Rhinolophus ferrumequinum: one gene and its partner. The protein of the gene in region 2 interacts with the protein of the main gene of each other region in a biochemical or structural test. Links are inferred from orthologs where the notes say so. Each region holds a gene or a part of one and is shown on either strand. Other genes may lie near its edges.

Region 1 (7,889 bases), on a different chromosome or scaffold from region 2:
CCTCCTGAGGAGAAGGGGCAGAGATGAGGGTGGGGCTGGGGGCCTCGGGGCGGGGGGAGGGGCAGTTTTGGGGAGAAAAGGCAGGGAGCAAGGCCCAAGGCCCTGAGGTAACATGCCCTCTCCAGACCTCAGCTGGGTCTCACTCTGCCACCTGTATGCTTGGTGTGTGACAAGTCTTGAACTTAGGGCATATGGAGCCATCCAACAAGGTGGGTCCTGGCTTCCCCAGAATCACCTGGGTTGCTAGGGAGCAAGCAGGGCGCTGCTGGCCATGAAGTTCTGTCCTTCAGCCCCACAAGGGATGCTCAGACCTTCAGTAGACAAACTGGACGTGCCCCATCCTCCCCTTCCTTTACCAAAATCAGTTTTCCCTGGCGGAGTCCCAGGTGAGTGGCCTGGAGGGAGATCGTGATTTATGGGGTCTTAGTCAGGGACCAGTCGGTCCCTAAACTGGTGACTGTTTACCATGGAGAAGAAAATGCCCTTTCATGACACCAGAGGGCGTGCTTGCCACTTTCACTGGGAGTCTTGCCCAATCCCTTTGGGGCTCTCCAACCTGTCCCAGGCCGACCGATGCATAGCTGGGGCCCGCAGCCCATGCTACCGTGGGAGAAGTAGAGGCTCACCAGGTATCTCATGGTTGGGCAGAGCCAGATTCTGATTCCCAGGTAGGGGTTTCTGTGCCATACCCCAAGACTCAGACGTCTGAGCCTGGGGTATCTCAAGGGTCTTCTAGCCCAAACGCTCGTAATTAAGCATGAAGAAACGGAGGCCCAGAAGGGGTCAGAGCTTGGTGAATGAGTAACGGGCAGTGCTGACTTGGGGTTCCTAGACCCTATTTGGGGCCTGGCTCTCAAGAAACAGGAGGGTAAGGAGTGTGAAGCTTTCTTATCGGCTGTGGTGTCCCTCTGTTCCCCAGCAGGCACCCCTAGGAGAGTGTGAGGGTGACAGCGACAGGGAGGGGGGCAATGGGACCATCTGCAAAGACAGTGCTGCCCTGGCTCATGGAGACTCAGTCCCGACGGTGTTGCAACCGGCCTCACGCTGGCTCTGTGCTCCTCTCCTTTCTTCCTCTTCAGGTGAGTCAGCTTTCACCAAGGCACTGCCTCCCCCCAGCTCACCCGGCCCCCCTTCATGGCCTCCCACCCCTCAAGCCCTTCTCTGGTCTCTGGTCTCTGGTCTCTGTCCTCTGTGTCTTATCTGTCTTGTGACAGGTGTACTAACAGTTCCCAGAGGCCAGTAGGGAAAGAATGAGAAGCATGTCCCCTTCCCGCTGCCCCTGACCCACTGCTCTGCTTCATACTCGGTGCTAAATATAGCCAAGGTCCCGGCCTCCGCATGGCCGCCCTGGGCCCCCTCCTGACGGAGGCTCAGGCTCGGCCAGTGGGGCCCTGAGCGCCTTGGCTCACCTTAGCTTTTTCTCCACCCTGGGCTCCCTGGTCCTGCCCCTTCTCACCATAACTCTGGGGGAGTCGCTGTAGTCTCTGAGTTCTAACGAGGACCCCCTGCCAAAGGCAAACTGTGCCTGTCCCCACCTCCTCCCTGTCCTGTCACCACCAGTGTGTCCTGAGCAGATGGCATATGCAGGCCACCAACTCCACCCCTCTGCCAACCCCAGGAATCTCTAGAATCCCTGTTATGGTCCCAAACAGTTAGAAGCATGGAGTCCAGGGATGTCAGACCTAAGGACCCTCAGAGGTCACTGAACCTGACCCCTCATTGTACAGATGGGGAAACTAGGGCCCGAAGAGGGGAGAGGAGCTGTCCCAGGAGGCTCTGCAAAACAGTAGCTAGGCCTGAAGCCGGTTCCCCAACTCCTGGCTTTCCCAGCCTCACCCCTGCCTGGCCTAAGACCCTTAGGCTTAAGTTTCTAGAAGGCAGGGATGGAGGAGGAGGAGGGCAGAATTCAGAACTGGGACCAGACTTAAGGTTAGGGGCCTGAGCCCCAAGAAGTGTTCCAGAACATGGCCTTCTCGGGCTGGCTAGCCCCTCAGGATGACCCCACCTCTGTCCCCAGTCTGCCCTGCCTTGGCATAGCCCCACTATAGGTCTCTGCATCTGGTCTGGCAGACTCAGATCTGGTCTCCCTTGCTTGTCCTCCGTTTCCCCGCCCTCCTCCCCCCCGTCTGCCCACTGGGCAAGATGATGGTCTGGGCATCCCAGCCCAGGTCCTAGGCCATGATATGTGGGGAGCTGGGCTCAGGCCAGCCCTGGGGAGACATTCCTGGGACCAGTTATGCCAAGACTTTCACCCACAACAGCTGGGCATGGGGCCTGGCTCCCAAGAAATAAGAGAGTGTGAAGGTTTCTTATCGGCTGTGGTGCCGCCCTGCTCCCCAGCAGGCACCCCTAGGAGAGTGTGAGGGTGACAGCTACGGGGGGAGACGGGAGGGCAGTGGGACCCTCTGCTGAGACAGCCCTGCCCCTGGCTCATGGAGACTAAGGAGGCAGAGTCGGGCCTGCTTCCCACCTCCACCTGCATTTCCTCCCGCCTCTCCTCTCCTCCTCTTTCCTCCAGACACTGGAGCTGCCTGGGAGGAAGCCTGGAAGCCTTAAGAACTCCATACCTGTATTTTGAAAATCAAAACTCCAGGCTACCTCCTCCTGAAAGCCTTTCTGGATTTTTTTAGACTGGTAAGAACTTGGCCCTTCTGCGGGCGTCAGGCTTGTGGCAACCAGTCCCTTTACGTCCTCAGGGAGTCTTTATACCAGAGACCTCTCCACTCACCTACGTCCAGCTGCACGGCCCCTTAACTTCCTTCTGCCACCCCTAATACACGGTATCCTGAGAACCATCCGGAGGGTGCAGAGTGGACCCCAGCCTGGAGAGCCAGTCCTGCCATGGACAGACAAAAAGCAGGTGACTCACCTGAGGGTCCCACTTGGCTGACGGCGTGCTTGGGGTCTGTGGCGGGGCAGCCTAAGGTTTGTCGTTCCTCTCTAGCTTCTTGCTTGGGGTTGGTCCTGCTCTGCTGGCTCCGTCAGATGCCTTCTCACTGCCCTGGCCCCGGGTCTCTGTCCCCTGCCAGTCCCAGCAGCTGCCTTTATCTTGCTGGCTAAGGGGTGGGCCAGAGTGGGGGCAGGCGGGAGAGGCTAAGTTCAGAATATGAAGTGGTTCAGTTATTTTTAGGGCTTGTGGAAGTCACTCTTCCATCCTGGGGAATCGGTTACATGTCCTTTCTGCCGGGAGGTGCACAGGAGTGAGGGGAGCACTTCATTCATCCAAGTCTGATCGGAGGACTGGGCTCAGTGACTCAGTCAGGTGTCGGGCGCTGGCGTCCCAGACTATTCTGAGGAAATGAATAAGGAGGGACAGCTGACCCCGGGACAGCCCTGCCTAGTCCTGTGAGCCCGCTTCCCTACTCTGGACTGGCCTCTGAGCTTTCCTGACGCGTGTGTGCCCCCTGTGCCCTCCTCCCCTGGTCCCGGCCTGGGTACCTCTGAGAGTAAGTCCCCGCTGTCCTCCCCCACCCCCTCTGCACTAAAGATACCCATTTTTCCTCATGCCCCGCAGGTCAGATCTACACAGCCCTGAGTGCAGCTGGATTTGGGGGAAATCATCTGAATTTCCAGGCCTCAATTCTTCACTAGGTCCCTGGTTTATCAGAGAATTCCACAGAATGGTTCTGTGGTTTTCATAGCAGATTATCTGGGCCCTTGTTGACTTTTGGGCTCTTCCCTCTGACTCAGGGCCCAGACTTTCTGGGAACGGAGTGGCAGGCGGGGAGCTGACTGCGGGGTTATTTCTGACCCTGGAGTCATCAGCTTTCCACAGAAGGAGGTGGTGGTGGTGGGGGGGGGGGTCATGCCTGCCCCTCCTTCGCTGCCCAGAGCCTGAAGGCCTTAGCAGGCTAAAGACATCCTGGCAATTACGGTAGGCTCGGGAAGGGGCCGGTGTGGTAAGGGGCATCGGGGATCGTCCAGAGCACATGCAAAGGTGGCATTTTGCCCAGGCTGCATGTCTAAGGCCGTACAGGTGCATTCTGTCACCTGGCAGAACAGGATCTTCCTTCCGACATCCCGAATGCCCTGTGGTGCCAGGGAGTGATACCAGGCATTACTCAATTTTTCCACTGAGTCAACCTCTATCTCATAGTGTTGGCCTGAGGGTAGGGAGACGGGCATCCAGGAAACCCTCTCCCTGGTCTTCTATCCTCCTGGTGTCCCCTGTCCTTTTCTATCCCTCTGCCTGCTCCCCAGTTCCTGGCTGTTCCCAGGAAGGTCAGGGAGATGTAAAGGCTAGGGGAAGGGGAGTCTTAGGTATCCCCTTAGGGAGCCTTCGGCTTGGGGATGCCCCAAGTGCCTTCCTGCTCGGATGGTTTTGAAAACTGAATGAATTAACATAGGAAAGGGTTTATAAGAGTGCTTAGCACAGAGCACATGCTATAGAAGTGCCTGCTGCTATTACACGTGTAAGAAAAGAGAAGCACCCAGGTGGAACCCACTTTTGTATTCCCCTTACGTGTGATGAGTCATGGTAGAAATTTCTGAGGCCTCAGTGTTAAGAAAGAGGCTTTTCCTGACCACCTGGTTTGTTTTTATCGCATATAACTGTGCTTTCCCATATGGTTGCCACTAGTCACGTGTGACGATTTAAATAGATCCAAATGAAATAAAATTTAAAATCCAGTTCCTCCATCACACTGGGCACATTTTAGGTGCTCCATAGAAACACGTACCCAGTACTTATCATATTGGACAGTGCAAAACGTTTCCATCATTGTGGAAAGTTCTACTGGACAGTACTATAAAGACGCTAAAAATCTCCTAACAGATGGCATTTCTCTCTTTGCCTTGGCTCTTAGGAAGCTCTGACCTAAATTTTCAGTCTTCTAGCAAGTAGATTTTGTGGCCTGCATCCTGTGTAACGAGGGTGACCAACTGTCCCTGTTGCCCGTCTCTGAGGGGTTTCCCAGAACAAGGGACTTTCAGTTTTAGAAGTGGGAAAGTTCTAACAAAACCAGGAAGGGTGGCTCACCCCATGTGTGATGATCTAACACTACCAAGTCTTCCAGGTGTCAGTTGCAAGGCCATTCAGGCAGTAAGCCAGGCATTACTTATGGGAGTATCGTTGGTGGAGATACCGTGCACCTATCCTTTCAAGCTCCCTTCAATTATTTTGGGAATGAGGCTAGGGATAAATAAACACATTGAGGATGAATGGCTGTGCTGATTAGAAGGCAGAGGGGACTTGGGGGCGGAGGTGGAGACTGAAGGGTGTTGTCTTCTGGCAACCACAGTCCTTCCTTCTGGCCGACTGCTTCTCAGTCTTGAGGGCTTCTTCCCCTGCCAGCCCCTCCTTCCAAGTGGGGCTCCACCAAAGTTGGGGATTGTTTGGAAGTTCACGCCTAAGTCTCCTTGGAGAGCTGGCACTTGAAGGCAGAGCTCAGAGTGAGTAGCTGGCAGCAGGCTCACCTCAAGTTTCAGGAGAGGCAGCATCCAGCAATGATTAAGAGCCAGACTACGTGTGAGACGTACTAGCTGTGCAACGTTGGCAAGTTATGTACCCTCTCTGTTTCTCGGTTTCCTCATCTATAAAATGGGGATAACAATTGTACATATCTCAAAGGGTTGCTGTGAGGAATATACATTTCATCACACACCCACAGCATTTCGAATAGTGCCTGGCACACTGTAAACTCCATATATGAATAAGTTCAGTAAGTTCTTCCCCGGATCCTGGCCACCCCCAGCTTCTCCAGGACCCAGATCTGAGTATATCCTCCTGGTCCAAAGACAAGTGCCCTTCAAGGCACTGGCTGGCAGTCCTGGCTTCCCTCACCCAGGAAATAGACCCTGGTGCCAAGGGACAGCTCTGGACAGGCCAGGCTGGGTCTGTTCCAAGCCTGCAGGAGACAAGCCTGCTCAGCCTCTTGATAAAATCACCTGAACCCCGAGAAGGGATTTTCTGCTCTGGGGTCAGCTCAAAGCGTGGGTTGATTTGCAAGGAGTGCTGCACCCTCCTGCCATGGGACTGTTGTGGTTATTGCAGGAGAGGCAGCAGAACATGGTGTTTGAGTGTGGGATCTGATGTCAGACTGCCTGAGATCAAATCGCCAGCCTGTCCCTTCCTATTTATATGACCTCTGAGAGTCCTCCAGCTCTCTGCACCCTAGTATCTTAGTTTGGGATCTTCCAGTGACAGAATTTGAGATGAGTGTTTGGGTGCAAGTGATTTAACTGGAGAGGAGGAATGTAGTTAGAGTCACAAAGTGAGTTGGGGGAGGGAGGAAAGCAGGGGGAAGTACTTCTGTGGGCAACTGGGCTTCGTCCCGCAGGGGACCCTCTGAGAACTGGTGTGGAACATGCCTCAGCTGGGTTTGGGAGGCGGGGGTATGTATCCACTAATCCTCAGCCACGGGTTGAGAGCTCTTCCTGGAAGCACTAACTCCCTGACACTCCCGGCCCACACCTCAGGCAGAGAGATGCAGGAGTTGGAGATGTCCTGAAGCTGTAGTCCTGTACAGGGACAGTCCATTGAAGCAGGTGAGCCCTGGGGCGGGGGAAGGAGTCATGGGGGCTACTGACAGCATCTGCTACATTAGGTTCTCCCATCGGTGAGGTGATACTGAGCTTCTATCATGTGGTTGCTTTGAAGATTTAGACATGTGCTTCCCCGTTGAGCTTAAAATAAGGAAGAGTGTCTGGGTGGGCCTGACCTAATCAGGTGAGCTCTTTAACAGTGGCGTTTCCTCCAACCGCTGGCAGAAGAGGAAGTCAGGGGATCTGAGGCACGAGGGGGATTTGGTGCACTATCACTGACTTGAAGATGGCCATGTGAGTAGGAATGTGGGTTCCTTAAGCAACTGAGAGAGGCCCCTCGCTGAAAGGCAGCAAGAAAACGGGGGCCCCAGTCCTACAACTCAGGGAAGTGAATTCTGTCACCAGCCTGAATGAGTTCGGGACAAGAGTTTTCTTCAGTTTCTAGATGAGGACTCAGCCTTATGATACCATGAGTAGAGAACCCAGCCCTGTCGTGCCGGATTCAGACCTGCAGAACTGTGGGCTAATAAATGGGTGTCATTTAAGCTGCTATGCGTGTGGCATTTTGCTACACAGCAACAGAAAACCAATAGAGAATGGAAACTGCAGCAGCCATGGGGCATGCCTGCCCACTTGTAAGTCACCCAGTCCACCCGGAGCTTGGCCTAAGCATTTTTTCCCAAGTGGCTGGCTAGGGCCTCCTAGGTGGTTATGCTCAGTACCCCCAGGTCACCAGCAGAGGGCCTCAGAGCATCTCAAAAATCAAGAAATAAATACTGGTTAGGGAAAGTCAGAGCAGGAAGAACCCACAGTCTTTTATTCCTCCCATTTTGCACTTGAGGCAAACTGAGGCTTGCAGCAGAGCCCGGATGCTGCAGAGTAGAGAAAGGAGCTGCTTTCAGATGGTCCTCCTTTGGGACCCCAGCTCCATCATTTGCCAGCTCCACAACCTTGGACAAGTTGTGTCAGCTCTCTGAGCTCAGTTTTTCTATCTGTACATCGGGGATGCTTTGGCCGTGAGCAGATGGAGGAAGAGTATTCTGGGCAGAGGGAAGAGAGTGGGCAAAGGCACAGAGGTGTGGATGGTGTGGTGTGTGCAGTGCGATTGGAGTGTAGGGCAGAGGGTGGACAGTGGCCTTGAGTGGCAGGCGGGGGCTGAGTCGTGAGTGTCAGGCAAAGGTTTGGGCCCCTCCTGAAGGGTTTTAATCAGGGGGCAATTTGGGTCACAGGAGGCAGGTGATGAGGGCCTGTCATAGCAGCGCATGCTCTGAATGATGGCAGAGTGGAGGGGGGGAGGGGCTGAGTCGGAGCCATGCCGACAAGGTAGAAGAGACAAAACCTAGAAGAACTACAAGATGTAGCAACTGCAAACCAGGAGAGGAAGCACTCAGGGGGATCGCAGCTGT
Region 2 (7,183 bases):
CCAGCCTTCCTCTCTTCTACCCCACGGAGCCACCACTTCTTCGCCTGCCAGGGGGTACCCCCAAAGTGGCGGGAAGAGCCCAACAGCCAGTGCCTGAGGCTGCCCCAGGCCCCAAGTGGAGGGGGTGGAGAGAGGGCTGGGCGAGGGAGGGGCTGGGACAGCTGCTGCCCCCTCCAGCCCCTCCCTTGGCTGTTGGCTCAAGGAGAAGGAATAGCAACTGGGGAACAGCTGCGGGACAGTGCTGCCTCATAGGTCTCTTTGTTTGGAGGGGCTGGGGGGGGCTGGGATGCGGGGAGTGGGGTAAGAAGGGCACACAGCTCCTCCAACCCAGAAAGAGTACCCCCTCCTTCAGGTGGACTTCTCAGCTCCCAGCTGTCACCCCACTCCTAGAGAGGGACGTGGGGAGTCTTTCTGACCCTCCTCCCAGGTGCCCAGACACTCGATTTCAGTCTTGAGACAATGCCTAGAGGAGGCCCCCTGGACGGCCTGTTCCAATCACTTATGGGAAACGAGGGAACTAGAGGAAGGAGGATGCCACCCCTGGTGGGGAACCCCACTACGTCTCCTCAAGCTTGGGAAGCTCCTTCCGCCTGGGCCCCCTCCCCTCCAACCTCAGCCTCAGGCCCAGCAGCAGAATTGCTGACAGCTTATCTCATCACCGGGAGTGAGCCACTTGGCCCAAATGGGGAATGGTTCCCTTCCTCTCGGCGGGAACCGAGGCACTTCCCTCCCCACCCCAAACCAGCTTTTGCTTCTTCCCCCTCTGCTCTGAGCCGGCCCCTCCACAGTTGAGCCAAGGGGCTGGAGCCAGGCACCACCATGGGGGAGGGGAGAGGTGCGCACAGGAAGGATGAGGCCTGGAGAGGGGCTAGCCGCCCCACAACCCAGAGGGGAGGGGAAAGCAGGGAGCAGCTTCCTACAAAGATATGCTGAGGCCCCCGGCTCTCCCCTGGAGACCCCACCTGGGACAGCCAGTCCTGTCCGTCAAATCCCCGGTGCAGGGGGGTGACAGACCAAGGGCAGACTCCCCTCAGACCCCTGCCAACACACACACACTCTCAATAGCCCTCACCCCCACTACACACCCCAGGGCCCCTCCCCCACTCCTGTCCTCAGGCTTGTCCTTCTGGAAAGCTCAGAGACATCTGCTGTGTCACGGAGGTAGGGCTATTTCCAGGCCAGAGCGGGTGGGGTGGGAGGGCAGTATTGGGGCAGGAGGGGGTAAGGCCTAGAGAGGGGACTGGACAAGGCAAAGGGCCCCCGACTGACCTCAGCTGCTAAATCAGGAGGCCTAGAGATGCCCTGAGGGAGAGTTGGGGGTGGACATTCAATTATCCGGAATAGACTCTGGGGCAGTCTGGCAGGAGAGGCATCTGACCCTAAGTTAAACCCCTCTCCTGGGGCCTTGGGGTGCACCCTTCACGGGACACTTTCCTGTAAATCACAGCTGGACTTTTAAGAGCTCACCACAGGGGTACACAGGAGTAGGGGGTCTGGCCCAGGCCACCAGCCTGCAGAGAGGACAGCAGAGCTTTGAGGGGAGGGGCAGCCTTTGGCCACTCAGAGTCCAACCTTGGCCTCTGGTTCCCAAGCCTAGAGTGTCTCCCCACCCCCACCCAGCACAGACACACCTTCCAAATCTGGTTACACTCAATGACTTCCTCCCTTCTACAGGCCTTCCCCTCCCTCCCCTCTGCCCCGAGCGTTAGTTGCAGCCAATCCCAGCTTAGGGGGTGGGCTGGGGCCGGGCCGGGCCTGGACGTGCGGAGACCCCTCCCTGGCACGCTGAGCCCGAGGAGGACTAGCGGGGGTTAAGGCTCCCGCGCTCGCTCAGTGCCTTTTTAGGTTTCTGAGGCTGGGCTCTGCTTGCCCCGGCCCCCGGGCCTGAACCCAGCTGCTTAACACATGCGGGCCACCGGCTCTCCGTCTGCCCCGGAGCCCCGGGATCGGCAGTGGTTGGGACCTGCCTTCAGCCCGCTCCTCCCGGTGGAGCTGCTGCAAGGCTGGGAAGCCTTTGCTTTGTTTGAGGGAAGACGCCCCCAGGAATCAGTAATGGGTACTGGCCCTGTCCTCTCAAGTATGGCTGGGGTTGCCCGATGGCAAGAAGGCGGACGATGAGTAGAGAGGCGGGTCTGTGGGACCGTGTAGGAGAAGGCTGAAGCCGGGGGACTCTGGACCCTCCGGGTATCTCCCCATCCCCCACCGCCCGCCGCTGTGCAGAGAGGGGCGTGAAGGCAGTGCCCGTGTGGCCAGCGTCGGTGGTGGCGGGAGAGCCGGGGTTCCCTCCCCGTGTCAGGGGGCTGCTCTCCTCCCTCTCTCTCAGCTCCCCGCACCCACCGGCACCTGTGTCCCGTCCCCACGGGCCAGCCGGTCCTCGGGGCACTCCCCTGCCCACACTGACCTATGGACACGAGCTTGATGTGCTCGCGCTCGAGGAACTCGAGGGCCACGGACACGTTCTCCAGCTTCATCTGGCGGAAGTTGGGGCGCGGGTGGAACTTGCGGTACATGCGCTTCTGGCTGAGCACCTCGAGCAGAGCGATGAGGCGCAGACCGTCGCTGAGGTCTCGCTGCAGGTCGGTCAGGCGCTTGCCCACGCACTTGAGGTGCTCGTTGCACCAGCGCGTGAATGTATTCTGCTGGATCTTCTTCCACGGAGCGTCCTCCGCCAGGTCCTTCTCCGTGGACGGCATGTCGTCTGCCTCGTCGCCCAGGCCGAGGCCCGCGGGCTCCGAGTAGCCGCTGTTGTTCATCATGCTGGCAGGGGTGGGTCGAGGGTTGTGCTGCCTGCTGGGCACGGGCTGGGCAGGGGCTGGGGGCGCTGTCGGGGCGCTGTCTGGGCGATCGCGGGACTCGCAGCTCTGCGCTGTGCGGCTCTCAACTTCTCTCGCGCCCCTGGCTGGCGGGACTCAGCGGGACTCTTCGCTCCTTGGCCGCTCGCTCTCTCTCTCTCTCTCTCTCTCTCCCTCTCCCTTCGGGGGCGGAGCGGTGCTCGGGAAGTGCCGGCCCGGCCGGGGCGGGGGGTTTAAGAAGCCCCGGGCCGCGCTCCCCCCGCCGCACTCGCAGCCCCCGGGTCCACGTCAGAGCGCCGGCCTCCCAGGAATGCCGCCCGGCCTGCGGGTGGGGGCCGCGCAGAGCCCGACCGCCCCGCCTCTGTCCTCCCCTCCCCCACGCGGCCCGATTGGCCCAAGGGGGGGGCTCCCCCGCCCCCCAGTTAGCTCCCCAGAGGGGCTAGTCCCTGGGGCGCTGCGTTGGAGAGGTGGAGCAGAGCTGGAAGGTGGGGGGTAGGGCACCCAACACCCCAAAACTAAGCATTGCCCGTCAGAGATTAAATATGTCCCCTCCACGTCCCGCAGGACTAAAGAGATCAATAGGGAAACTGAGGTCAGTGGTTAGGGTAAAACACAGTGATCTGGTGTTGACAAAATTTTCTGGATGAATTGGTGACAGGGCCTGGGAGTCCTGGCTCCTAGCCCAGGGTACTGTCCACCTGTGCCAGGGAAGGGAAGTGTGTGCTAGTACAGAGATGGACTGAGAGGAAATAAGGATACCGCCCAGGCCAATTGGGGAGAAGGTGTGATGGTTGTGGTGGGGGGTGGTGCTTCACTTTTACAGGTAGAAAAGCCTAGTTTGAAGGCCAAACCCAGGGTCCCAGGAGAAAGACTGAGGCTGCCCCTGACTCAGTGTCCCCGTCACCAGCCTGTTTGGCCTCATCCCCTCAGAATGAAGCTGAGCTCAGGAAAAGAGTACCCAGTGAGTCACACTGTGCACCCCCCCAAGTCTGACTCAACCAAGGTGATGAGTGGGAAGGGAGAAACTGCCCTGTAGTAGCAGGGAGCCCCCTGGGCAAGGTGCCCATTTGGGCCACAGGGCAGATCCTTCCAGTGAAAGGGCGGGTTCGCCAGACAAAGAGGGAGAGCCCTGCCCAGAGCAGCCAAGGGGAAACGTGACAGGGGCTGGTGGGCAGAGAGAGCCCAAGGGAGCCAGCCAGGAAGCCTAGGCAGGACTGGGCGAGGGAATGGTGACAGCAAGGAAACTTGAGGCAGTCAAATAGGAGCTGGCCTGGGATGACAGAGCTATAGAATATATATACAGAGAATATAAATCCATAATTTTGTAGCATGCATGTGGTCCATATCCCCTGGTATTCCCTTTGCGCTGTATTTCCTCAGCTTTCCCATTCTTCAAGAACAAGTAAGTTTGGGCCAGACATTCCCCGATTCAAGCTGTGTGATAATTGAAGTTTGGGAAGGTTCTGGGACCTTAGAGGTATAACATTCTACCTTATTCCTCTTCTACCCCCAGGGAGAAGGGGGATAGCGGACAGAATGAGGGCAATCTCCATTATGGAGCTCAGAAAGAAGTTCCCGGGTTTTGTGGGCGGGAGTGCTTATGTGAAAGGGGTCCATGAATGATTTCTTTCCCTTCTCATTAGGTAGGGAGGGGGAGGAGTAGAGAAGGGGCCAGAAACAGAAAAGAGAACTGCTGTGTGTAGCTTGTGAGGGGGGAGCTCTGGGGGCCCTAATAGTGACAGGCAAGGTATAAATAGCCTGGGCCCTGCGGCTCATGTTCTGTCGGCTGCCTGTGACGAGGTGCTCAGGAATTCCACTCTCCTACTGGCACCCCCCTTCCCTATCTCCAGAATTCTCATTGCCCCATGCCACCTTTGTCCCACGGCCAAAACCAACCACCAGGCATCAGTGTTGACCGTCTACTTTAGAGGCTGAGCTCTCCTGTGGAGAGATGCCCAGCTCCTGGGGACACATGACACATAGCTGGGTCTCACAAGGGAAGTGTGTGTGTTTGTGAGTGTGTGTGTGTGTGTGTGTGTGTGTGTGTAAAAATGGCAGACTTCTGACACCTAACCTGAGGTGCCAGCTCAGGATTCAGCGATGTCTCTGAAGCCCTGATGAAGAAACTGAGGTACAGATCTGAGAAAGGATAGGTTCCTCTCTCTGAGCTGCTAGGGAGAAGAGAAAGGGGTAAAATGGGTTTCCTTGGAGCCAACAGCCCCTTTACAAATCCTAGTGGCTCATAGTCCTGTTTTGGGGCATTACTTGGTGTGTCCCCCAGTCAGTTAAGGTCCTCCATTGAGGTGGGAGGGTTCAGAGGGAGGCCAGTGAGTGGAGAAAGAAGTCTCCTCTCTCCCCCCTCTCATTCCCTCTCTCCAAGAGAGGTCCGTAAGAGGCCCCTGAGGAGTAAGTGAATGGTCTCAGTAGAGCAGGGTACCCAGTGCCAAGGATGGTTCCCAGCACCCTTCTTACCCCCCTTCCCCAGAAACCTGAGCCTGTTGCTCTCCAGGATAAATCGGGGCCTGACTCAGGCCCCAGCCAGCCAGTCCCAGCAGCCTGACCCAGGCGCAGGCTGGTGACTCAGCTCTCAATATAGCCCATGAGCCCAGGCCTCAGGCCTGGCCATGAGGGCTGGAACAGACCGTGCGCAATGCTGGTCCTACGGCCTGCCAAGTGGGGCCGCCTCCCTGAGGAAGGGCCAAGCCAGGCAGGGGCACATAGAGGGGCTTACAGGGGGTTTCATCAGCTGAGCATTTGGGGTAACGCTGGCTGGGGCCATAGGCTGTTTATAGCCCCCTGACTCACCACCCGCTGACCTGTCTCAGAGGACCAGGTTGCCTTTCACTTGGCCCTACTTCTCCCATCAAGGGGCTCATCAGCCACGGACAGTGGCCATAATTAACTTGGGCTAAACAGAGTCAGAGTGAGCGGGTCCAATGGGCCATGTTTGAGAATCCTGTTTTTCTGGAGCCAGGGACATTTCCACAGTCACCCGTTATGAGAGGAGACTGGCCAGGCTCACAGCAGGTCCTTGGATCAATCGGTGATACTGACTGTGGCCCTGACCTGGGTGCCAGGGACGGTGGGGTCGGATGGAAAGATCCATAGACTTTATAACCTTGGGCAGGTAATGTAACTCCTTTGGGTTTCAGTTTTCTCATCTGTGAAATGGAGTTAATGTTGTCATGGCGATTTTTTATGTATGAAGATGAAAGGAGGGAACATGTAAAATGAGCGTGGTGCCTGGCAGCTAATAGGTGATCAGAAAAAAAGTTCGTCTGCTTTCTCTGCTGGTATCTCGGGGACCATCTGGGGTCTGGTGAGTGAGGCCTTCCTCCCAGCTCTGTTTCTATCCCTTGTAGAATCCACCGCCAGGATCTTCACACTCCTCCAGTCTTCCCTTCCGTGATCCCCGAATCCACCTGCCAGAATCAGAACCAGGGTACCTCTGATCTTTAGAACCACCCACCCTGCTCCTTAATAGCAGTTGGTCCTTGACAGGAGTGGCAGGTGGTGTGCTCTAGCACGTGGCCTGGGAAGAGAAAGCCGAGGGGGGCTGTTGTGCTGGGAGAGAGCAGAAAAGCAGCAGTGACGCAGAGGGCAGTAGAGCGGGAGAGGGAGGCCCCTGAAGCTGTTTTGAGTCCTTGGTTCTATCTGTACTCCAGCCTGGGTGCGTGCCTGCCTGGGGCTTCTAGGAGACACCCCTGTAGACTTAAAACAAGCTCAAGTGACTGTTTCACATTCAACCCGGAGAGACCTCTTTGATCTACTCTGGTAACAGTGTATGAATAAGGCTAGGAGTCAAAGCCTAAAGGGATGAAGAGGAGAGCACTCTAAAATGAGCCAACAGGAGCCAAGTGTCCTAAAGGGAAGAGCTCTGTATGCTAAGCAAAAAGGCTAGGGAAAAACGGGACCATTTTCCTAGCTTTGCCCAGGCTCTAGATTTGGGCCTGGGAAGGATCTGATAAAGTCCCGACTGGGGGCCCACTGCCTACCAGACCGTGACCTCCACCTTGACTTCTCATTCCAAGTTAAATCAGTGATCTTTGATGGTAGGTAATCCTCCACTCTTTTTTTTTTTATTTTATTAAAATTTATTGGGGTGACAATGGTTCAGTCTTTTCCAGCCAACTGGTGGCCGGAGTAAAGGGAATAAAAAGCAGGGTTTCACTACACTCACCAGCGAGGGGCCAGTCGCCCCAGGTGAGTTGTGAAAGAATTTCTTCCGTTAGGTTACGACTGAGAACACACAATCTAATTGAGGGCAGTGCTTCTCAAATGTTATTGTGCCTAATAACTGGGGATCTTGTTAAAAGGCGGACTCTGCGTCAGCAGGTCGGAGGTAGGGGCTGAGCTTCTGCCCTGCCGATGCCGATGCTGCTGGTCTCTGG

What was found.
Region 1: the proteins of FLNC (region 2) and XIRP1 form a complex in vitro, tested with the Homo sapiens proteins (2 studies listed by BioGRID and IntAct, with this or other methods). The link is inferred for Rhinolophus ferrumequinum from reciprocal best matches to the Homo sapiens genes FLNC and XIRP1.

The regions. Positions count from the first base shown.
Region 1 is NC_046300.1:13,480,714-13,488,602, reverse strand, and holds the start of XIRP1 (xin actin-binding repeat-containing protein 1), read right to left. Parts: upstream 3,005-7,889; 5' UTR 2,870-3,004; intron 5-2,869; 5' UTR 1-4. UniProt on the Homo sapiens protein: Protects actin filaments from depolymerization. Required for correct cardiac intercalated disk ultrastructure via maintenance of cell-cell adhesion stability, and as a result maintains cardiac organ morphology, conductance and heart beat rhythm.
Region 2 is NC_046309.1:17,312,086-17,319,268, forward strand, and holds the start of FLNC (filamin-C), read right to left. Parts: upstream 3,015-7,183; 5' UTR 2,757-3,014; coding exon 2,402-2,756; intron 1-2,401.